Pelodiscus sinensis: one gene and its partners. The protein of the gene in region 1 binds, or shares a complex with, the protein of each later gene. Links are inferred from orthologs where the notes say so. Each region holds a gene or a part of one and is shown in the gene's direction. Other genes may lie near its edges.

What was found. Proteins that work in one complex are often made in the same cells at the same time.
Region 2: E2F4 (region 1) and LIN52 share a complex: the UniProt entries of both Homo sapiens proteins name them as parts of the DREAM complex. The link is inferred for Pelodiscus sinensis from reciprocal best matches to the Homo sapiens genes E2F4 and LIN52.
Region 3: E2F4 (region 1) and RBL1 share a complex: the UniProt entries of both Homo sapiens proteins name them as parts of the DREAM complex. The link is inferred for Pelodiscus sinensis from reciprocal best matches to the Homo sapiens genes E2F4 and RBL1.

The regions. Positions count from the first base shown.
Region 1 is NC_134722.1:47,083,308-47,090,523, forward strand, and holds the start of E2F4 (transcription factor E2F4), read left to right. Parts: upstream 1-4,182; 5' UTR 4,183-4,237; coding exon 4,238-4,363; intron 4,364-7,216. UniProt on the Homo sapiens protein: Transcription activator that binds DNA cooperatively with DP proteins through the E2 recognition site, 5'-TTTC[CG]CGC-3' found in the promoter region of a number of genes whose products are involved in cell cycle regulation or in DNA replication.
Region 2 is NC_134714.1:44,998,711-45,006,544, reverse strand, and holds the start of LIN52 (protein lin-52 homolog), read left to right. Parts: upstream 1-4,745; 5' UTR 4,746-4,856; coding exon 4,857-4,875; intron 4,876-5,314; coding exon 5,315-5,389; intron 5,390-7,834. Other genes in the region: ALDH6A1 (methylmalonate-semialdehyde/malonate-semialdehyde dehydrogenase [acylating], mitochondrial), read right to left, coding at 3,595-3,651, 4,440-4,493.
Region 3 is NC_134728.1:32,852,532-32,859,873, forward strand, and holds the start of RBL1 (retinoblastoma-like protein 1), read left to right. Parts: upstream 1-4,253; 5' UTR 4,254-4,365; coding exon 4,366-4,488; intron 4,489-7,342. UniProt on the Homo sapiens protein: Key regulator of entry into cell division. Directly involved in heterochromatin formation by maintaining overall chromatin structure and, in particular, that of constitutive heterochromatin by stabilizing histone methylation.

The DNA.
Region 1 (7,216 bases):
GGTCCGTACTGCTGATCAGGGACCGCTGATAGGGGCACTTGCTGCCATGTGTGAGCATAACCCCTCCCTTTCCATTTGCTATGAAACAGTCCCATTCCAGGAACATCCCATTGTCCTGGCACAACCCAACCCGACCTCGCTTTGAGTGATGGTAAAGAGGAAGCTGCCTACCAAATCAGGTGATCCTCGTGTAACCCTCACACCTGCTGGGTGCGGTGCACTATCCCACTTATGGCACTGGGACCAAGTCAAGAGAGACTAATGAGGCTGCTCTACAGCATTACCTGAGAGCCAGCTGGCTTTTAGCTTGTGTGGTAGAGACTCGTGCACTAAGCTCCAGAGGTCCTAGGCTCAATTCCCGTGTCAGCGTTATGCCAGCTTGTACCCGTTAGGAGGATTCTTGAACAAATGGACTCACAGACAGATGCAAGTTTCTAAAATACATAGGAAGATTAATGAGCCCGTCCTCAGAGATCTCCCTGTGTAAGTGGTGACAGACCATGATCTCATCAGTGCCTCATCTTTGTTTTGACAAGATAAATAGACTGAGTGTCATAAGCCTCTCGCTATAAGCCTCCTCTCCGGTACCTAATATTCTTGCAGCTTTTCCTGAACCCTTCTTCAAATATGCAGAGCCCTGCGCAGATACAAAATGGCTGTGTCTAGACTGGCCAGTTTTTTTGGAAAATCAGCCGCTTTTCCGGAAAAACTTGCCAGCTGTCTACAGTGGCCGCTTGAATTTCCGCAAAAGCACTGACTTCCTACTGTCTGAAATCAGTGCTTCTTTCGGAAATACTATTCTGCTCCCGTTCAGGCAAAAGTCCCTTTTGCACAAAAGGGCCAGTGTAGACAGCTCAGATTTGTTTTCTGCAAAAAAGCCCTAATTGAGAAAATGGTGATCGGGGCTTTTTTGCGGAAAAGCGCATCTAGATTGGCACCGATGCTTTTCTACAAAAAGTGCTTTTGCGGAAAAGTGTCCATGCCAATCTAGACGCTCTTTTCCGAAAATGCTTTTAACGGAAAACTTTTCTGTTAAAAGCATTTCCGGAAAAACATGCCAATCTAGACGCAGCCGATTTGTATCTGTATCCACAAAAATGAGCTGTGGGTATCCGCAGCTGTGGATGCGGTCACCCGCGGATATAAAGTGGGTATCCACAAATTTGTCAGGCTCTAGAAACATGGGTACCAGAACTGGACACCATATTCCAGCTGTGGTCTGTGTGCGTATGTCCTATGTAATATGAAAGCCAAGAATCGAATTAGTCCTTTCGGCCACAGCATCACCTTGGGAGCTCTTTTGCTTTGGCTGCTCTCCACTATGACTCCCTCTTCTAGCAGCTGATGTGGAGGTATGAACACCAAGAGAGGAGAAACTGCTTTTGTAGTTGGCCAGCCATTCACAGTCTTTGTTTAATCCTAAACTAATGGTGTCAAATTTGCAGATGAACTATGTAGCTCAGCAGTTTCTCTCTGAAGTCTGGTCTTGAAGTTTTTTGCTGCAGGATGGCTACCTTTAGTTCTGCTACTGTGTGTCCAGGGAGATTGAAGTGTTCTCCTACAGGTTTTTGTATACTGCCATTCCTAATATCAGATTTGTGTCCATTTATTCTTTTATGTAGGGACTGTCCAGTTTGGCCAATGTATATGGCAGAGGGGCATTGCTGGCACACGATGGCGTATATTACATTGGTAGCTGTGCAGGTGAATGAACCAGTGATGGTGTGTCTGATCTGGTTAGGTCCTGTGATGGTGTCGCTGGTGTAGATATGAGGGTAAAGTTGGCACTGAGGTTTGTTGCAGGGATTGGTTCCTGAGTTAGAGTTACTGTGGTGCAGTGTATAGTTGCTGGTGAGAATTTGCTTCAGGTTGGCGGGTTGTCTGTGGGCGAGGACTGGCCTGCCTCCCAAGGCCTGTGAAAGTGGGCGATCATTGTCCTGGATGGGTTGTCGATCACTGATGATGCGTTGGAGAGGTTTTAGCTGAAGTCTGTAGGTGATGGCCAGTGGTGTTCTCTTGGTTTCTTTCTTGGGCTTGTCTTGTAGTAGGAGGCTTCTGGGTACATGTCTGGCTCTTTTAGTCTGTTTCCTCACTTGGATATCGTAGTTTCAAGAATGCTCGGTGAAGATCTTGTAGGTGTTGGTCTCTGTATGAGGGGTTGGAGCAGATGCGGTTGTAACTTAATGCTTGGCTGTAGACAATGGATCGTGTGGTGTGTCCGGGATGGAAGCTGGAGGCATGAAGGTAGGTATAGCGATCAGTAGGTTTCTGGTATAGGGAGGTGTTTATGTGATCATCACTTATTTACACCGTGCTGCCCAGGAAGTGGCTCTCTTGTGTAGACTGGTCCAGGCTGCAGTTGATGGTGGGGTGGAAGCTGTTGAAATCATGGTGGAATTCTTCCAGAGTTTCCAGAAGTGGAGACAAAAACACTTTGGCTACGTCTACACTGGCCCCAAATTCCGGAAAAGTGATGCAAAGCAGGTAAGTCAGAATAGGGAAATCCGCGGGGGATTTAAATATCCCCCGCGGGATTTAAATAAACATGTCCGCCGCTTTTTTCCGGCTTGGGGAAAAGCTGGAAAAAAGCGTCTAGACTGGCACGATCCTCCGGAATAAAGCCCTTTTCCGGAGGATCTCTTATTCCTACTTGAAAGCATTGGGCTGAGAAGTTGATCCCTGAGGTTCTAAAAGGACATGGACTCCATGCATCGAACAAAGTGGTTTTTACCCATGAAAGCTTATGCCCACACATATCATCGTCTGTAAGGTGCCACCGGTCTTGTAGTTGTTTTTGAAACTACAGACTACCACGGCGACCTGTCTGAGGCTTTGTATTTATGTGAGTGCAACACTTAAAATATTATGCATGAAAGGGGAAATGATTCCTAGTTTGTGAATGAAAACTTAATTTGGGAGGTTCTGTATTTTTAAGTTTCGTGTTCTTCAAGAATTGTGGTCAAAGGGAATCAATCAGCTAACCTCCCTGGGCCCAGACTCATCCAAGCGGGTTGACATAAAAGGAACCAGTGTTTTTCGTGTGGACACGCCAGACTTGCCCCGGGGAGGAAAAAAAGTGAAAACTAAGAGTGGAGCTAGCCAGAAAGCAGTGAAGGCGTTTGCTTCCTAAAGGAAGCTTTTATCAGAGTGAACCACGCCCTGGAGTTCAGCTTGTATTTCCAATGCTGGGGCCCGGGGCCAGATCTGCTCCCGGACCAGGAGTGAACATGAGACCAAATCTGAATTCTCTCCACTCATCTGAGGAAGTGGGTTGTACCAGCTACATGTTTTATTAGTCTTTAAGGTGCTGCTAGACTATTTGTTGTTTTTTAATGTTTGGGTCAGTTAAATTACGGAGATTGGTTTTAGGAAAGCCCTTTAAGAAGGTCTTACAGGTAATTCTGGGGGAACTGGTCTGGAATTCGTCTGAGAAGCAATGTTCCCTCTAATCTTTTCCATCTATGTGCAGAATATTTTTTTCTACATGCACCAAGGCACATGTGAATGTGCACCATCAGTAGAAGCAAACCTGGCTGTGAATAAACAAACACCCCGGCTCGCCGAGCCCCCCCCCGCACCCCGAGCCCCCCCGCACCCCGGCTCGCCGAGCCCCCCCCCCGCACCCCCGCACCCCGAGCCCCCCCGCACCCCGGCTCGCCGAGCCCCCCCCCACTCCGGCTCGCCGAGCCCCGCACCCCGAGCCCCCCCCCACTCCGGCTCGCCGAGCCCCCCCCCGCACCCCGAGCCCCCCCGCACCCCGGCTCGCCGAGCCCCCCCCCGCACCCCGAGCCCCCCCGCACCCCGGCTCGCCGAGCCCCCCCCCGCACCCCGAGCCCCCCCGCACTCCGGATCGCCGAGCCCCCCCTGCCGCGCCACCGTGGCCGGAGCCCCCGAGGGGCAGGGTCCCCAGGCGCCGTGGGGGCTACGGGCCGGGGGGCCACGGGGCGCAGGTGCCAACTTCCCGGCCGGGGCGGCGCTGCCGCGAGTGGGGTCCGCTCCGTGCGGTCCGGGAAGTTGGCAACCGGCGCGCAGCACTCGTCACACACACACACACACACACACACACACCCCCCAGCTAGTGGCCGGGCGCGAGGCGGGGCCCCGCCTCGGCCCCGCCCCCCGGCGCCACGTGACTCCCCGCGCGGGCGGCAGCGGCCCCGCCCCCTGGCTTCCGGCGCGGCTTCCCGGCCTGCCCCGCGGGCGGCGGCGGAAGCGGAAGCGGCGCGCGGGGAGGCAGATGGCGGAGTCCGGGCCGCAGCCCCCGGGGGCCCCGAGCCGGCACGAGAAGAGCCTGGGGCTGCTCACCACCAAGTTCGTGTCGCTGCTGCAGGAGGCCAAGGACGGGGTCCTGGACCTCAAGCTGGTGCGGCCCGGGGGGGTCTCTCCGGGGGGGGCGTACGGGGCCTCCCCCCTCTGGCGCCCGCTTTGTGCAGGGCCTGGGGCCGGGTGGAGCCTGTCGGGGGGGGGCTGTAAGTGGGGGGGTCCCTGTCCCGGGGGGCGGTGACACGCTGAGGGGAGTCGTCGCCACCCCGGAACAGAGCCAGACCCTGGTCCCGCGCCCCCCGAGGGCCTGCGCGTCTGCTCCGCGCCCCGCTGCAGGGAAACAATCCAGAGTCCACAGCCCCGTCACCGGGAGATCGTAGCCTGGATCCACCCCAGCGCAGTCGCTCTTCGCAAGTGGCAGCCCTGCATTAAGCAGGACACCAGCTTGAAAGGGATGCGTAGGTCACTGTCAGCACCGTGTGTTGCAGGGGGCCGAGCAGGAAGCCAGCACAGTCTGCGGAGCTCAGGGAAATCACTGCTAAGCAAGTGGGGGTGCGGTTCTCCACTAGCTGAAGTTTCCAAATGATCTTTAGGGTTCTGCCTCCTCCAGTCTGGAGGTGGGGGAGACCTGGCTGCTAGGGGAGGAGAGCAAATCAGATCGTTTCTGGCTGAAGCTCTGCAAATCTGGAGCTTGCATCTGGTCTGTGCCCCAGGTGAATACGCGTTTGCCCACACACGTGGCAACCTGCATGTTTATGCATCACAAAAGCGCACTGCATAGACTGTCCCCAAAGCTGTCTCACCCCAGCACCTCCGAGATCACTAACGTGTGGCTCATTGCACCCTGATGAGCAGCCTTGTCAGACTCGACAATTTGGGAGATTCAATACGAAAAAGGTTTCTTTGAATACACTGAAGCTTGCGGAGGGAGAAGCAGGTGGGTGGCGGGGGCTGCGAGGGGCAGATTGGAGGGGGTTAGGAGGCCACAGGTAAGGCTGTGATATGGGTAGGACGGGGGTAAGTGGGAGTGCAACATTGATCTCGGGTGTATTTGTGGTATCTCGGACCTTGTTCAATGCCCTTCCCTGGTGCTTGGCTGCATCCTGCTTTCCCGGCCTCCCGAGCAGCCTCTGCCCTGGGAGCCGCTGCTTATCATGCCATGTGTGTGGAGGAATCTCCCTTGGATCCGCAGTGCTGCAGTTGCTGCCTGAGGCATCAGGCTCGGATCCGCATGGGAACCCAGGGCTGGAGGACTGAAAACGGGAGGCTCAAGGAAGCACTTGTGCATCCAGGCATGGCTAGGAGGCAGCAGGACTCTTCTCAAGCGGGTCAGCAGTTTGTGGCTCTAAAGTGGCTTGGTGTGGGGCTTTTTTGGGGGGGGGAGCGGGGAGAATGCTGATTTGGCAAAACCGAAACTTTTCACAGAGCCAGTCAGCTTTGAGGAAACTTTTGCCGGGAAGATTTTTCAGAACAGGAATGGGCTCTGAGCTCTGCGAGAGGCACTTCCACCTAGTCTGTAGCATGGTGGTTAGGATGCCAGGTGAAGACCCAACCCCCTGGGTTAGGGATGTCCAGTCCTATTTAATTGGTTAACTGGTTAAATGCAGGGGGCAGCTCCCAGGTGTCAGTTAACTGGTACCTGCTTACTGGGCAACCAGCTACCGATTCACATCCCTAGTGGCGAATTGGCATAGGCACTTATCCTTGTCCCTGGCCATTGGAGATCTTTTCTCACGGTATCTCCCTGCCATGTCCAAAGCCGAAACCTAGCTCTTGTCTTCCAGCAGTGCAGCATGCCTCCATGGAGTGATACCCATGTGTGTGTCGCCTCAGCTGTCTGTGTTCCCACTGCTGCTCTTTCTGGCTTCGGGCATGTGCAGGAGGTGACTAAGAGGTTCAGGCTGGGACAGAAAAGCGGTGGGCGTTTGCTCCAAAAGCGGCGGGCAGTTGGGACTCGTGTTTGTCAGCATCATTGAAACAGAGCAGTGGCTTGTGGAGCACAGCTGTGTAGGAAAGTGACCAGGCTTGTGTCTTTTGCAGTATCCAGTGCAGTGTGGCGCTGGGCATATCAGTACAGACATACGATGCATTCACACTGACCCAGCGCCCATGGAATTCACACTTAGGGTTACTTGGGATGGGAACTGGAGTAACTTCCCTTGGCAGGCACCCAGGGGCGCGCTGAGTGTTAAGGTACGGCTGTTCCTGCCAACCAAAGAACAGATCCACCCCTGGAAACTTCTTGTGGGAACCTCAGGCCTGGGGGCTGAATGCAGCCCGCAGCTTGCCTGGATCCAGCCCCTAAGGCTCAGGGCCCCCCGCTTGCATTGGGGACCCGCACTGGTGCTCCAGCCCCCCGCTGTCTCACCACACGGCTGGAGCACAGAAAATCACGGCTGGGCCCCCAGGCTCTGGTGTGCAAGGGAAATGTAGGAAGCATCTTTCTGCTTCCGTCGGGCATCACATCAATGAGGGTTTTTTGTGTGTGGTCCCCGACTGATTTGTCTGTGGGTCAGTGGCCCCCAACCCAAAAAGGTTCCCTGCCCCTTCCCCTAGAGCCAAGTCAGCCGAGGAAAGCTGAGGACTTTGGGTAGCATAAGAGCTGCCTCACCACAGCCTTCCTAATCTGCTCCAAAAGAGAATGGAGCTAGGGGCTGAAATACGGAGGACCCTCCCGGGGCATTGTCCCAGAGAGGCGCAGTCCTGGCGGGCTCCAGAGGAGCTGGGGAGGTGGCCGGGCTGGCTCTGGGACAGCAGGGGTTTTAGTGCAATGAGAAGTTGGATTGTGGGGAAGATCAGTGGTAGTTTTGAAGTCCTGGGGAGCAGGGTCCTCTCTGCAGCTTGAGAAGCAGGGGCACAGAGGAGGTGCTGTCGGAAGTATGGGGCTCTGACCCCCGACGGGGAAAATGTGGTGCCCGCGGGAGGCCGGCTGTAGCTGTGAATTTCCGGAGTC
Region 2 (7,834 bases), on another chromosome or scaffold:
TCTGTGCCACTAGAGGATGTCAACTTACTATTGCTATCAGTTACTTCACTAAGTGAAATGACTACGGTCTGTGTGGTGGTTCTAAAGGTACCTGTAACAGGGTGTGAATACCCCACACTGGAGCAGGGGGAATGAAAACCCTGTGGGCAGAGAAAGCCCTGCTCCTTCAACCAGACTGGGCATGCTCCAAGTGCTGGGGCAGCATAAAAGGCAAGAGAGTAGCTTATCTGGGCTGGCCAATGAAGGAGAAAGACTTCCAGCCAGAGCTCCCATGCTGCAGCAGCCAGTGACCCAGAACAGTGAGAACCCGGAATCCCAGGAGACGGCTGCTATGCAATCCCCGCAGAGTCCCAGGAAGAAGCCGCTGCCAGGGAACTGGGAGACCAAGCCACTATGTGGGACGTCGACCTGCCAGAATCGTAGTAAGTGACCCAGGGAGGGTGCAGGAATGGCCTCTCCCACCCAGGTATATTTGGCGGGTTTTGGCCAGATTCCCCACCGAGGGAGTTGTAGATTGTTCTGCTGCTCGCAGGGCGCTGGGTAGGACCTGGTGGTGTAGGGTGGGCCCGGTTCCCCCTACCAGGGTGCTTGCCCCAATCCTACTGATTCTGGCCTGGCCTTTAGGACCTACTGCCCTGCAACAAGAGCTACTTACCGATTCTCTGTGTTGCCCTGAGACCAGGGCCACTTACTGACTCTGGCCACTAGGCCACACTGCCCTGGAGTGAAGGCTGACCATGATGGACTCTGACCAGCAGACTGTACTGCTCTGAGAGAAAGCACAGCACTATTGACCTTAGACACTAAGCTCAAATACCCTAGACTGCAAGGGGACATTTACAGACTAGAGAGACAGCTGAATACCCTGTAGCCAATCAGGTGGCATCCACACCCCTGAATATCTTCACTCCTGTGATGGGATATGCATATAACACCACAGTATCAACCCAACTAATAACCCATGTGGGTATCACTTGGATGCCACAATGGAATTCCCCCTGCCCCCCAGTTTGCTTTTTTAAGAGCTAGGCAATTACACACAAAAAAACTACATTAAAAGAAAATTTAAGTTGCAAAGCTAAGCAATCAAAAATTGGGAATTAAAGTTAAGAATAACTCTGCAACTTTAATCCAGCCCCTTGTGTATCAGCATTATGCTACAGTCTTCAATTACATATTCACATTTTTCCCCCTCATCTCACAAACTCCTTGCTTCATTCACTGGACAAAATGGACCTATTCTGTTGAATCCAGGCGAGGTATGAAAGGGGACTTCTGTCCATAGGGCCCCTGCCTTATTTGTGGCAGAAGTTGGACGACTTGTACTGAGTGGGGTAGGGGAATGCAGGAAGAGAAGGACTGACTCATGCTTAAAACAAATGAATGCTGTCTCTGCCACAGAGTTCCTAAGTGATACTAGGTAAGTCACTTAAAGCAAACTTTTCACACGCATTTGTGCAAGGCTCTATACAACACTTGTATCCGCATCTCCATCTACAAAAAAAACCACATCTGCGCATGTGGATGTCTGCAGTTGTGTAGGGTTCTAAATAACTCATTAATGTTTTGTATCTTCACATAACCCCGGTGAGGTAGTAGTTTTATTATCCCCATTTTACAGATAGGGAAACTGAGGCAAGGAGACTTGGGTCAAAAACATTTACTAATTTTGGTTGCCTAATTTGAGATGCCTAAAAGCTGATTTTTTTTCAAGACTACTTAGCTCTATATAACTATAAGCCTATATGTAGATAGAGCTCTGCTTTATATCTGCAAGTATCTACATTTATAAATGTGAATGCATATGTCTGCAACTTATTTTTGGAGATGTAGATAAAAATTTTGAGTAAAGAAATAATTCTATTTTCAACACAAGGTCTGAATATTGTGCAGTAAATAGGCCACAATGAATAATGACAAGAAAACAAAATATTGAATAGAACAGCATTGCACAAGCTGGAGCCACCCAATCCATGTGTAGGAAGAGTGCAGCACAGACCCCTGGCCCCACCAGTCCCCTGGGCTGAAACAAAGGGGCAAGGAGAGACAGGGCCTGGAGCAGAAGGGAGTTGTCCTGGTCCTTCCTTGGGCGGAAGCAGGGAGCACGTGGTCAGTGTCTTCCTCCTTCCCCTGTCACCCATCGTTACTGCTTTGCTTTGAATTTACCTTAGTTCAGGGGTTCCAAAACCTCATTGCATTGTAACCTTCTTCCAACAATAAAATATTACTGCATGGCCCCAGGAGAGGAGGCCAAAGCCTGAGCCCACCTGAGACCTGCTGCCCTGGCTGTCAGGAAAGTGGGGAAAACCTCAAGCCCCAACACCCTGGGTGGGTAGGCTAAAGCCCAAGGCCTCAGCAGACCTGTAACCTGAACCCCACCACTCAGGGCCAAAGTCAAAGTCATCAAAATCAGTCTTTGGTCCTGGTCCACAGCAAATCCAATGCCAGCCTTTGCAGACCCAATTAAAACTTGATCATAGCCCATTCTGTGGTTCTGAATGACAGTTTGCGAACTGCTGCCATAATGGCAAAGTTAGGCAGTCGTTGCCTGTAACGTTTTTATTTTATTTTTCTTGTATTAAATTCTGACTCGTATGCTTCACGCTTAAAAGCATACAAAAATCATTCCCTTTGATCCAGTGTATTTGAAGTGTTTGGGAAACTCCACTTGGGACAGCAAGTGTACTTATTTCTATTATTATCCAAGCTCGTATTGTCCAGGAAAGGGCTGTGCAGTACAAGACAGAGATTTCTAGAGCATGGCACCACAGAGACAGTGCTGGAGGGAACTGGCTTTTAAGGTGGCTCCCACCAGCACCGGCTCCTGCCCACCCCTCCTTGCTGCCACCAATACAGAGGCAGTGACATGGAAGGGAGAGTGAGTAGTCAAATACCTGACTTCACTACTCACTTACATCCTTATTTAGAAAGGCTTTAGGACTCTCCTCCCTCCCTTCACTGAACCCCAGATTCACCTGGAGCCACCCAGAACAGAGCTCCGGTAAATATTTTCAAACCTATAGAAGCCCTGAGAACACCCTCTCCTCTCCCTGAGACGTGCTTCATTTGGCAGCTGTGTCCTAAATGGTGGTCAGCTCTGTGAAATAGTCTCTGAGAATTTAAGCCCTGGAAGTGACTTTTTAAAAAGATGTGAAGGAAGTGTTTCATTGCATGAGGAAAGGAGTCCAACAATCCACCTGCCCCAGTAGCAGTTATAGACTTCCCAGAACTTTAGCCAGCCCTATCTAGAGGCCTAACATGAAATTGTTTCATGCCCTGCTCTTACTAACTGGGCTAAGTTATCTAAAGCTAATTCAGCAAATACATTTTCTTCCAAATACCAACCCCCTCCTTTGGCAATGCAACTGCAAAGTCTGATTTAGTTTAACACCAGATTAGACAGGTACTGGGCATGCTAAGTTATGCAAGTGATAGTACGGGGGTGCAGCTCCTGCCATACAAGTGTGCATAGCTGGCTAATAAGATAGTCACCATCTGCATCTCCTCCTCCTCCTCCCCTGCATCCAGGGCCCTTTGAACTTCCCATGTCTCCCCTTTGGTAAAGCTTGTCAACAGGAACAAGAATGAACTCACCACTGAGTAAGAGGAGGAAAAGGATGAATACCAGGTGGGACTGACTTTTCCTAGGATCTACATGAAAGAAAGGCAGACACACAGAGATCAATGCTGTTAGACACACAGGAGGCAAATCCTGCAGAGGTTAAACCCGTGCAGACGCTATGGTTGTGGAGAGAGCCTGGGATCTGATCCCCAACGTCCATGAGTCAACTATAGCCTGAGGGAGCAAAGGGGCAGCCACAAATACCACTGGTTGCACGGTAAGATGCTGTGGGAAGGGGGTCTCAATCATACCCCATATCAGGCTAGGGGACTGAACACGTGCTAACGGAATCAATGGCAAGGACCCAAAGCACGAACTGGGTTCAGGTGAGCCTTGCCAGATCGTATTTGAAAGCGCTGGAAAATTCCTCCTAGTTTATCGGTTTTAACCTAAACCGTTTCAAGGGTGCAGCCTTCCAAGCACCGTCCGACAGCTCGCCTCGGGGCAGCCGTCAGTGGCACGGAACAGTGAGGCCAGACGCGTGCAGATCCCAGCTGAGACCCCGCCCAGCTCTCCCCAGTCATGCCCGGGAACCTCGCTGCCAACCCCTGCTGTCACCCCCGGAGAAAACCTATCCCAGCACCTCGGCCCGCCTGCCCGCTGGAGCGGCGGCCTCGGGTCTTGCTGGCAGCCAGGCGGAGCCCAGAGGAACCGCGAGAAACACTCGTCCGGCGGCCACAAGGCCGATAGCCCGGGGGACTGTCCGGCACAGGGGAGGCGTGAGCCCAGCCGCTGGAGCTACAGCAGGGCTCCCGCACCTCGCCCCGGGCCGGGGGCTGCTCGACACCCCCGCCGTACAGCGGGCGCCCGGCCTCACCCTGCACAGGAGCCGCTGCCCAGCCTGGGCCCCGCGACCTGCCAGCGCCACCATCCCGCCTGCAGAGAGTCCCCCGGCCCCCGCAGGACAGACCCTCACGGGCCCTCAGGTCCCGCCCCCGCACTGCCATTGGCCGCTTAGACAACGCCCTAGTCTCCGCTCTACCCAGGAGGGGCTGTGGCGCTCGACTCGGCCAATAGAGAGCCGCAATCGCCTAACCCCGCCCCTAGGGGAACCGCCCACCATTCCAGGGCGGTGATTGGCTACGGGAATTGAAGGCGGCCATGGATGGAAAGTCAGGGTTGGACACGCCTCCTAGGGGAGGAACGCAAGCGCCGCGTGTGTGGGCGGTGCTAGAGGGAGTCACGTGTACGAATTCCCGCGGGCGGCGGTTGCCCGTCACGTGACTTGGGCAAGATGGCGGCTCCCACGGAAGGTAAGAAGTGGAAGCACCAGGACTTGGACCGGATCTGCCTTGCGCGCGGAGCTGAGCTGCGGCGGCTTCTGGGTATCGGCCCAGCCCGCCCGGTTCCTGGGTCGCGTCTTGAGCGTGATGTGTCGTTACCCTGCGCCAGCCCCCTCCCCGCCGGCGACTCGGAGCCGGGGGGAAGGGTCTGGAGACCGGCCCGACCAGGCGGCCCCGCCCGGCGCTGGAGAACGGGCACCGGGCAGCCCTGTCGTCGGGGCACGTCCCCGGACTGGAGCTGCTTGTCGCCTGTGTGAGGCGCCGCGGTTGAGCCTTGCGAGGGCACCCTCTAGCCACAGCCCGTGGCCATGGCGTCTGGGGTGTCGCTGAGCCTGCGTGTGACATGTCCGGCTTCGGGGCGGGAGCGGTGTTTGTCTGTCTGACTGACTCACTGACTGACTCCTTCCAGGGACAGATCTGGAAGCCTCCTTGCTGAGCTTTGAGAAGCTGGACCGAGCATCCCCAGACCTGTGGCCGGAGCAGCGTAAGTCAACCCTGATTCTCCTCCAGGGCTTGATGAGGTGGATTGGTCCTTCATGTGAAAGGAAACGAGAGTATCCAGTGCCCTGGTGAGAAGGGGAAAGACCCCTGGGTCACTGGAGTGCACTGCGACCTCCAGGCCCCCGCAACCTGGGATGGGTGTGTGTACCATGGAGTTATGGTTTGATGGTGTGGGGAGTGGCAGTTGGCAACTGTAAGTTTCATCTGATTGCCCATGTAAATGTTACTGGAGATGGTATCCAGTTTGAGCCCTAGTAGATTAGGATGTTCTCCATAACATTCTGATGCGGGTGCTTCTCAGGTTTTGTTCCCTTCACCTATGCATTTAAACTACGGTGATCTGCACTCCTTGGCTAGGTGGTGAAAATATAAGAAGTGAGGCTTGATAGGAACTCTTCCAGTACCTCTGTGTAAACTACTGACTAATAAACTAAGCTGATCTGCAATGGACACTTCCATGGCAAATAAGCAGGGAAAATCTTCCAAAGAGCATTCTGAATTTTTGTTACTCCTGCAGTATTCAAGAAACTGCAGTAGATGAGTTAGTGACTAATATTTAATGTAGTGAGGCAACATTTCCTATAGTACATGTGACTGGAGATTTTATCTAACTCTACTGCAGCTAGGAAGCTTAATTCCCAGTTTGATTGGCATTTGTACAATAATTCTGATCAATGTAGCATATGAAAAAATATCAGCATGGCTATCAAACTATCTGCTTAGGGCAGGAGTGGCCAACCAGTTAGGGACAAAGAGCCAAAATATCTGTGGATATTTATTTTTATATATCTAGATAGATAGATAGCTATAGTACACAAAATATAGTGATTAAAAATAACATTACAGGACACTTCAGACAAAAATCAATAAAAAAGTCACTAGTCACTTTAAAAAATTAATCTCCAGTCCATAGATCTTCTGAGAACTTGACAAGGAGCAAACATCAAATTAAAAAAATTTTTTTTTTAAAAACACAGCAATATTCTCACACTAAAAGAAAAGCATCCCTACCATGTATTTTAAATTTAACATTACTGCCCTAGTATGTCCTGTGATTTTTTTTTTAATTAAACTGAACTGAGAAATAAATTAGCACAATTTGAAGTGTCTGTTTCACTCCAACTTCTGACCTCTGGTATGGTTTCCTCAGTTTTTTTACTTCTAAAAATTCAGGTCTGTCCCAGACTGCAAATATGAGAGGTTCAAAAACAATAAGGCAGAGACACATATCTCAGAATAATTGGTTCAACCTGGCGAACAATAGCCTTTGAATTTTCTTTTAAGGAACACAGTGTAAACTAAGTGTATGCTGATTCTTTTTTGCCCTGGAATTTAAATATGACATCTGTGTTGGCTGCCTTTATTCTGCATCCATGAAGATAAGCCAGGCACCGTCAGCCCTCCCTGCTTTAACCCAATGCTTTCTCCCAGAGCCAGGCACCCCCAGCTCTCCCCTGCTCTAACCCAATCCCCTTCCCTCCCCCAGAGCCAGGCACCCCCCACTCTAACCCAATGCCTGGGTCCCAGAGCCGCTGTCGCCACACGCTTCTCCCTCCAGACACTGGGACGCATGCACAGAGCAGCTGGCTGCGAGCAGTCCAGGCGCACAGCTCAGAACTAGCAAGAGCCGCATTTCTTTAAGCAAAGAGCTGCATGCGGCTCAAGAGCTGTGGGTTAGGGCGTCTGACAGGATTGCATTCAGGCAAATTGCCCATGATCTGTGTATCTATGCCAGGGTTTCCCAATCTTTTTACTTTAGTTCGAACCCTTTTTTTTAGTACTGTTTTTTGCAGCCCAAAAATATAAACCCATAAAAAACAAACTGAGAAAATACCAGACATATAACATGTCTCGTCTTTTCTCATTAGGTAAGTTTTATTATTATTAGATGTATCAGTTTGTAGTTTCGAACTGCCTAGCTGGTAAATGTGCTCAGGCTGCATGAGTGTGTCTACCAGCCAGACAGTTCGCAACTACTCGAGGGTGTGTGTTGTGGGGGGGCACAATAGAATCCCCGGGCCAGACTCACTCGTGCTTTGTGGGGGTGGGGAGAAGGGGAGCAGCGCCCCGAGACCTGCATATGGCCAAGTCAGTCCCGCTCCCTGCCGGCCGATTCACTCTCTCCCCCCGCCTCTGGCCAGCCCCACTTCCCCCAACCCCCTCCTGGACAGCCAGTTCTCTTCCCAATCTCCCTTGGCCAGCCCCGCTGCCTGCGTCCAGCCCTGCTTCCGGCGGCCGCTTCTCCCTCCCACCCCCATCTTCCCCGGCCAGCTCCCTACCCCCAACCTCATGCCTCCTGGCAGCCCTGCTTCCACTGGCCCCCCAATCTCCCCGGCTCATCCCACCCCGATTCCCCCATCCAGTGCTGCTTCCGGTGCTGGCTCTCCCCTCCTCCTCGCCCCGACCTCCCTTAGTTAGGACTCTGCTG
Region 3 (7,342 bases), on another chromosome or scaffold:
TCTGCCAAGCAAACCACAGAGAAGTCCTCCAGGAAAGATAGGGTGGCACAAAGGACCTGACCAATGAGGGCCCAGCAAGCCAATTAAAAGGAAGCTGTTGCACCAGAGCGAGGCAGTTCTCTGTGGAAGCTGGAGGCTCAGGCTTGGCTGGAGAGCTGGGTTGCAGGAGGGTGGCCACAGCAGGACATGCAGGTACTTGGCTGCGCATACGAGATGAGTGGCACCCCCATTACACCTTCCTGTCAGACATCTGGATTGCCAAATGGTTTCAGAAAAAATACTGAACAGAAAAAAAGGACCCCAAGAGTTGTTAAGAAAAAAAAAAAGAAAGAAACGTGTCGTGAGGCTTTTTGGCCCTACCAGGCTGCCGGCAGCCACCCGCCATCTTGCCTCCCTGTGTGGGGCTGGACAGCTCCTCTGCGGAACCTGGTAAGCACTAGGGTTGTCAGGCTGCCTCCGTATTGAGCCGGACAGCCAGGGATTTTTGCCTCCTGGCCGGGGGAAAAAAAACAGAAAGTCCTGGACATTTTAGGTGTCCGGTATTTTCTGAAGTTTTTTACCGTACAGGAGACAAAAGTACCAAACTGTCCGGTTCAATACCGGACACCTGGCAACCCTAGACATCTCTAGAGTCTAGAAAAGCAGCCCTTTAGTAGCTCACTTCTCCCCCCGCCTCACTAGCCAGGGATCACTGATCCCACATATTAAGACACCCCCCCTACACACGCAAGAGCTCCATCCAGTCTCCCTGCTCTTCAATGGGTGATGCTCACTAGTTCCACCTCACTGATAGGAGCTAGAACAGCTCTTCCCTGCCCTCCACAGGCAGGGAGCTGCTCCAGCCCACAGGGCCTACCACGGGCAGGGGGTGCTCTGATCAGCCAGCTGGATCAGCTCCTGTCTGTGGTGGGCCTGGCTTGGCTCCCTGCCACAGGCAGGGCATGCGCCAACCAGCTGGCTAGAGCGGCCCTTGTCTATGGCAGGGGGTGGCTCCAGCCCGGCTCCATTCTCCCCTCCCCCCGCCTATAGTTGGTTAACCGGTTAAACATAATGGTTGACGGGTTACCCAATTAAATGGGATTTTGCATCCCTAGTTTATGCATGGGGCCCTGTTTATTGCCCACCCGCTGAATTTTATGCAGAATTTGCTGACTTCTGTGTCTGTTTCCTGCCACAATCTCTGGCTGCTCTCGCTCCCTGGCATCCTAGGGATCCCAGTGGCGCTCCCAGCCCTGTTCCAAGGAGAATACAGTGGCAATAATGAAACATGCGTTAGTCACAGTGGTTTCAGTGAGGAGTGCTTTCACTCTGTCCCATACGTCCCTGAGCGCTGGGGGGCGAGCTGCAGCCAGCGCCAGCTTTCACTAGTAAGCCTTTTATACGCTCACCAACCGCACGCCAGCCTGGAGGAGTGTGTCTGTCTCCAGAGTGGGAGCCAAAATACTTCCCAGCTCCCCCCCCCCCTGGGGAGGGGCCAGTGCTGCCAGTGGGCAGAGGGTGCAGAGGGGAAGGTCCCAGGGCTACCCCTAGAACAGCTCCCTGTTGGAATGTGCGCCTGGAGGACACTGAGCATGCTCAGTAGCTCTGCTGAAGCCAGTGCCCTTTGCCCTGCTGGCTGCTTTTTACAGGTGGTTAAAAAGGGACAGAAATACCTGTCATGGATACCCAGACACAGGCTGATGAAGAAAGCCAGGAGGTGAGGGTCAATCCAGTGCCCGGTAGCAAGGAACTGTTCTCAAGTCTTGATGTTTGAGGATGCTCAGCAACTCTACAGGGTAGACACACCGCATACTGAAGCAAGAGCAAGCACACAGGATAAGTTAGCATACGGGCAGGGTTGGGCGCAGGGCAGGTGGCAGCCAGGGCGGCGTAGTAAATTACTCTATATAGTCAGGATGGGGGAGGCAGCAGTATAGGATGACCAGAGGCTGCCCTATTAAGAGCAGTTACAGACAGATACCTTGCATGTCATTGCTCCCTATAGGGCTGTGCCTACTGCTGGTAGCAAGGGCTTGGCATAGCATCTTCTCACAGCTGCACAGACCAGTAAGGGCTGTTAGTAGCACAGCTCTACAGGCTCAGTGACAGGCAGCCAGCATAGCTAGGGGTTGCACATAGCACAGACCTACAAGGAGGCAGGACAGGCAGCCAGCGAGTCTAGGGTACCGGTAGTCCTACAGATGCAAGGATAGGCAGCTGGCGTGTCTAGGGATACGGTAGCACAGACCTACAGGGTGCAGAGACAGGCAGACAGCGTGTCTAGGGGCTGCTGGCAGTGCAGCACTATAGATGCAGGGACAAGCAGCTGGGCTACGTCTACACTGGTACCCTTTTCCGGAAATGCTTAAAATGGAACAGTTTTCCGTTATAAGTATTTCCGGAAAAAGCACGTCCACATTGGCAGGATGCTTTTCCGGAAAAGCACTTTTTCCGGAAAAGCGTCCATGGCCAATGTAGATGCGCTTTTCCGGAAAAAAGCCCCGATTGTCATTTTCGCAATCGAGGCTTTTTTGTGGAAAAGACTACTGTGCTGTCTACCCTGGCCCTTTTCCGGAACAGTTTTTCCAGAAAAGGACTTTTGCCCGAACGGGAGCAGCATAGTTTTTCCAGAAAAACACTGACAATTTTACAGTAGATTGTCACTGCTTTTCCAGAAAAGCAAGCGGCCAGTGTAGATAGCTGGCAAGTTATTCCAGAAAAGCGGCTGCTGGTATTTAAGGGTACCAGCAGAACAGCCCTACTGGCAAAGGGACTGGTGGCTGGTGTGCCTAAGAGTACTGGTAACACAACCCTAAAGGCACAAGGACAGGCAGTCAGCATGTCTAGGGGTGCCAGTAGTGCAGCACTACAGCGTGCAGAGACAGTCAGCCAGCGTGTGTAGGGGCTGCTAGTGATAGTCCTACAGGGTGCAGACACAGGGCATGTCTAGGGGCTGCTGGTAGCACATCCCTACAGGGTGCAGGGACAGGCAGTGGTTCCCAATTTTATTTGGCCACAGAACCCTTTTAAACTCAAAAGAATTTTGCAGAACCCCTAATAAAAGTCTTATATAGAGAGATGAAAAATAAACCACAACTAAGTAAGGATAATAAACATGCTAATCAAAGGCATGAGATCAACACAAATGACAATTGTTTTCAATAAAATGCCTAAATATTAATTATTTTTTAAATGATAAAATGTTGCTGTGATGGAATTTTCTCACGAAACCCTGGGGATCTGCAGAACACCACTTGGGAAACACTGCGCTGAGCGTCGTTAGCACAGCCCTAGGCCAGGCACATGGAACTAGGGGTACCAGCAGCGCGGCGCGACAGGCGGCGGGACAGGCAGGGGGGCATGACAGGCGGCGGGAGGCGGAGGGACAGGCGGCGGGGCGCGACAGGCGGCGGGAGGCGGCGGGGCGCGACAGGCGGCGGGACAGGCGGCGGGGCGCGACAGGTGGAGGGAGGCGGAGGGACAGGCGGCGGGGCGGGGCGCGACAGGCGGCGGAGGGACAGGCGGCGGGGCGCGACAGGCGGCGGAGGGACAGGCGGCGGGGCGCGACGGGAGGCGGAGGGACAGGCGGCGGGGCGCGACAGGCGGCGGAGGGACAGGCGGCGGGGCGCGACAGGCGGAGGGACAGGCGGCGGGGCGCGACAGGCGGAGGGAGGCGGAGGGACAGGCGGCGGGGCGCGACAGGCGGCGGAGGGACAGGCGGCGGGGCGCGACAGGCGGCGGAGGGACAGGCGGCGGGGCGCGACGGGCGGCGGAGGGACAGGCGGCGGGGCGCGACAGGCGGCGGAGGGACAGGCGGCGGGGCGCGACAGGCGGAGGGAGGCGGAGGGACAGGCGGCGGGGCGCGACAGGCGGAGGGAGGCGGAGGGACAGGCGGCGGGGCGCGACAGGCGGAGGGACAGGCGGCGGGGCGCGACAGGCGGAGGGACAGGCGGCGGGGCGCGACAGGCGGCGGGAGGCGGAGGGACAGGCGGCGGGGCGCGACAGGCGGAGGGACAGGCGGCGGGGCACGACAGGCGGCGGGAGGCGGAGGGACAGGCGGCGGGGCGCGACAGGCGGCGGGAGGCGGAGGGACAGGCGGCGGGAGGGACAGGAGGCGGGGCGCGACAGGCGGCGGGAGGCGGAGGGACAGGCGGCGGGGCGCGACAGGCGGCGGGAGGCGGAGGGACAGGCGGCGGGAGGGACAGGAGGCGGGGCGCTACAGGCGGAGGGAGGCGGCGGGCAGCCCGGGCCGGCAGCCCCGCTCCTCAGGCCGGCGGGCGGGCGGTCGCTGCGGGCGGAGGGAGACGCGTAACGAGGCCCGGCGGTGAAGCGGTTTTGGCGCGCTGCGCGCAAGGGCTTGTGGGATTGGAGCCGCCGGGAGCCGCCATGGCCCGGGAGGAGGCCGCAGCCGCCATCGAGCGCCTCTGCCAGGAGCTCAACCTGGACGCGGCCAGCGCCGCCGGGGCGCTGCGGGACTTCCGGGCGCTGCGGGGCACGTACAGCCTGGAGGTGCGCGCCGGGGAGCGCGGGGGGCGGGGCTGGGGCGCGGGCCTGGCTCGGGTGCAGGGCCTCGCCCGCGGGGCCCGGTGCAGCCCGCACCCACAGCGGACCTCGGGGTCACCCAGCGTGACTGCCCCCCCCCCCCCCCGCGCTCAGCTATGCCCCGCCCCCGGGGCATGCCAGGCCCCACCCCCTAGGCTAAGCCCCGCCCTCTCCGCTAAGCGCCTCCCCCCCCCCCCCCGGGCCATGCCAGGCCCCCCCAGCTAAGCCCCTGGCATGAGGACTCCACACCCCCCTCCGCTTAGCTGTGCTTCGCCCCGAGCTAAGCCCCGGCATGGCAGCCCCTTGCCCCAGCCCTGCCAGCAGAGCCGGGCGGTGGAGCAGTGCAGTCAGCCCGAGACACCGAATGCAGAGCAGCCGTTCAGGGCTGCAGCCCACGTTCGATGCCTTGTTCTGGGACAAGCCTTGGAGCGGTTCAGGAGGTTTTGCACCTGAAATTCACACCCTACTTAACCCGAATTAACTTTAAAACGTCAACAGTCCTGAAGGGCTAGTGAGTCACTGTGCGTTTAAAGTCTTTTCACACTCGCTTTCCAAGTGGTACCTTTCTGGGATCCAACTGCGGCCCCTCCCAGCTCCCTTCATTTGTCATTGAGGTTTTGGGGAGCAGTTCATCCAGAGCATCTCACAACACTTTTTTGGTGGCCTCAGATTGCAGCCACCATCTCTTGCTCATAGAAACACTGACATTTTTTTCTAAAATACAGTGAAAGCTTTGTTATCCAGCACTCAGAGGAGCTGGGGGAAAATGCAGGACAATGTAGCACTTTAAAGACTAACAAGATGGTTTATTAGATGATGAGCTTTCGTGGGCCAGACCCACTTCCTCAGATCAAATAGTGGAAGAAAGTAGTCACAACCATAGATACAAATGGAGCTGGGGGTTACCTGTTAATTGAATGTGCCAAATACTCAGCTTATTGCTCCATTCCCACCCCATGCTGGCAGATCCAGCTGGAGGCAGGCTGAGGGAGAAGGAGATGCCTGCTGATGATGTCTGCCAGCAGGCAGTAGTCCTGCAACCGCCAGTTGGACTGGTGAGAGTTAGGTGTGAGCCAGCAGATGTGGCTGGGGCAATGCTGGTTAACACAATTTTCCAGTTAACAAAGTCCAGATAAGCTTTCACTGTACTTAATTAACTTTAGGAAAAACAAATATGCACATATACATGTCCAAATCACTAATTTATTTATGTAAGGTTTTTTCCCTCAGTCAATAATCAAATTAATGTACAGTTTTCTCCATTTTTCACTGGACGTAAACAGAATAGAAACAAAAATAAGATCCTTTGCATGTTTTTGTCTTTTGGTGTTTCTTTTGTTTTTTTTGTTTTAGATTTGTAAATTCTAGTAAGTCTTCTGTTCTTTTTATGTTTGTTAATATCATTTTCCACAGAATGACTCGCTTACAAGCTGGGAGGCAGTGGAAAATGATATTAAACATACAAAACCAATTTCGCAGCAGATTACTCAGGCCTAGCAGGTTGGGGGACACATTAAGCCCTGGATAGGGAGGTAGGTTGGAAGGCAGCAAGGACGAGGGGCAATTTGGTGGGGGTGAGGAGTTGGGGAGACAATGGGGGCCAGTATTGATTGGGGCATGGCAAGCCTGGAATCAATGCTGGAAGCCCAAGGTCAGAGCCAAAGCCCAGTGACCAGGGCCCAGAGCCAAATAGGTGCCAAAATAGGGGAATTTTCTCTGGCTTCCTGCTCCTACAGCATTTCTGACTCCAGAAGGGGACAGGTCTCATCCCCTGTTGGTGACCCTTGGAGATGGGCTGCTATTTCCTTCCCCCTCATATCACTACCTAGGAGCTTGTGGCCACAAGAAAAGCCCCTGGTGGCCACATGCAGCCACAGTGACAGCATTTGAGAAACACTGAATTAATCCCTTCTGAATTCACTTGTCTTCTGGAATGGTCAGTAAACACTTCTTCCCATGATGAAAAAGATATTTATATTTAAACAAACGCCTGTTTAAGAAATAGGAGGATTTGATCTGGCTCTTATTCTTTGTGGGAAAACCAAAGTGGGTATATGCGTCTGCTCTCACATGGTGCTAGGATGATCTTGATACTGAGGAAGTTGGCAAATGTCATTGTGGAGCCTTTGGCTATTATCTTTGAAAAGGCGTGGCGATCGGGAGAAATCCCGGATGACTGGAAAAAGGCAAATGTAGTGCCCATCTTCAAAAAAGGGAAGAAGGATGATCCAGGAAACTGTCAGTCTTACCTCGGTTCCTGGAAAAATCATGGAAGGGATCCTTAAGGAATCCATATTGAGGCACTTGGATGAGAGGAAAGTGATTAGGAATAGTCCGCATGGATTCACAAAGGGCAAGTCGTGCCTGACCAATCTGATTAGCTTCTATGATGAGGTAACTGGCTCGGTGGACATGGGGAAGTCAGTGGATGTTATATACCTTGACTTTAGCAAGGCTTTTGATACGGTCTCCCACAATATTCTTGCCAGCAAGTTAAGGGATTGTGGATTGGATAAATGGATGGTAAGATGGATAGAAAGATGGCTAGAAGGCCGGGCCCAGCGGGTAGTGATCAATGGCTCGATGTCAGGATGGCGGTCGGTTTCTAGCGGAGTGCCCCAAGGTTCGGTTCTAGGACCGGTTTTGTTTAATATCTTTATTAATGATCTGGATGAGGGGATGGATTGCACCCTCAGCAAGTTTGCGGATGACACTAAGCTGGGGGGAGAGGTAGATACGCTTAAGGGCAGAGATAGGGTACAGAATGACTTAGACAAATTGGAGGATTGGGCCACAAGAAATCTGATGAGGTTCAACAAGG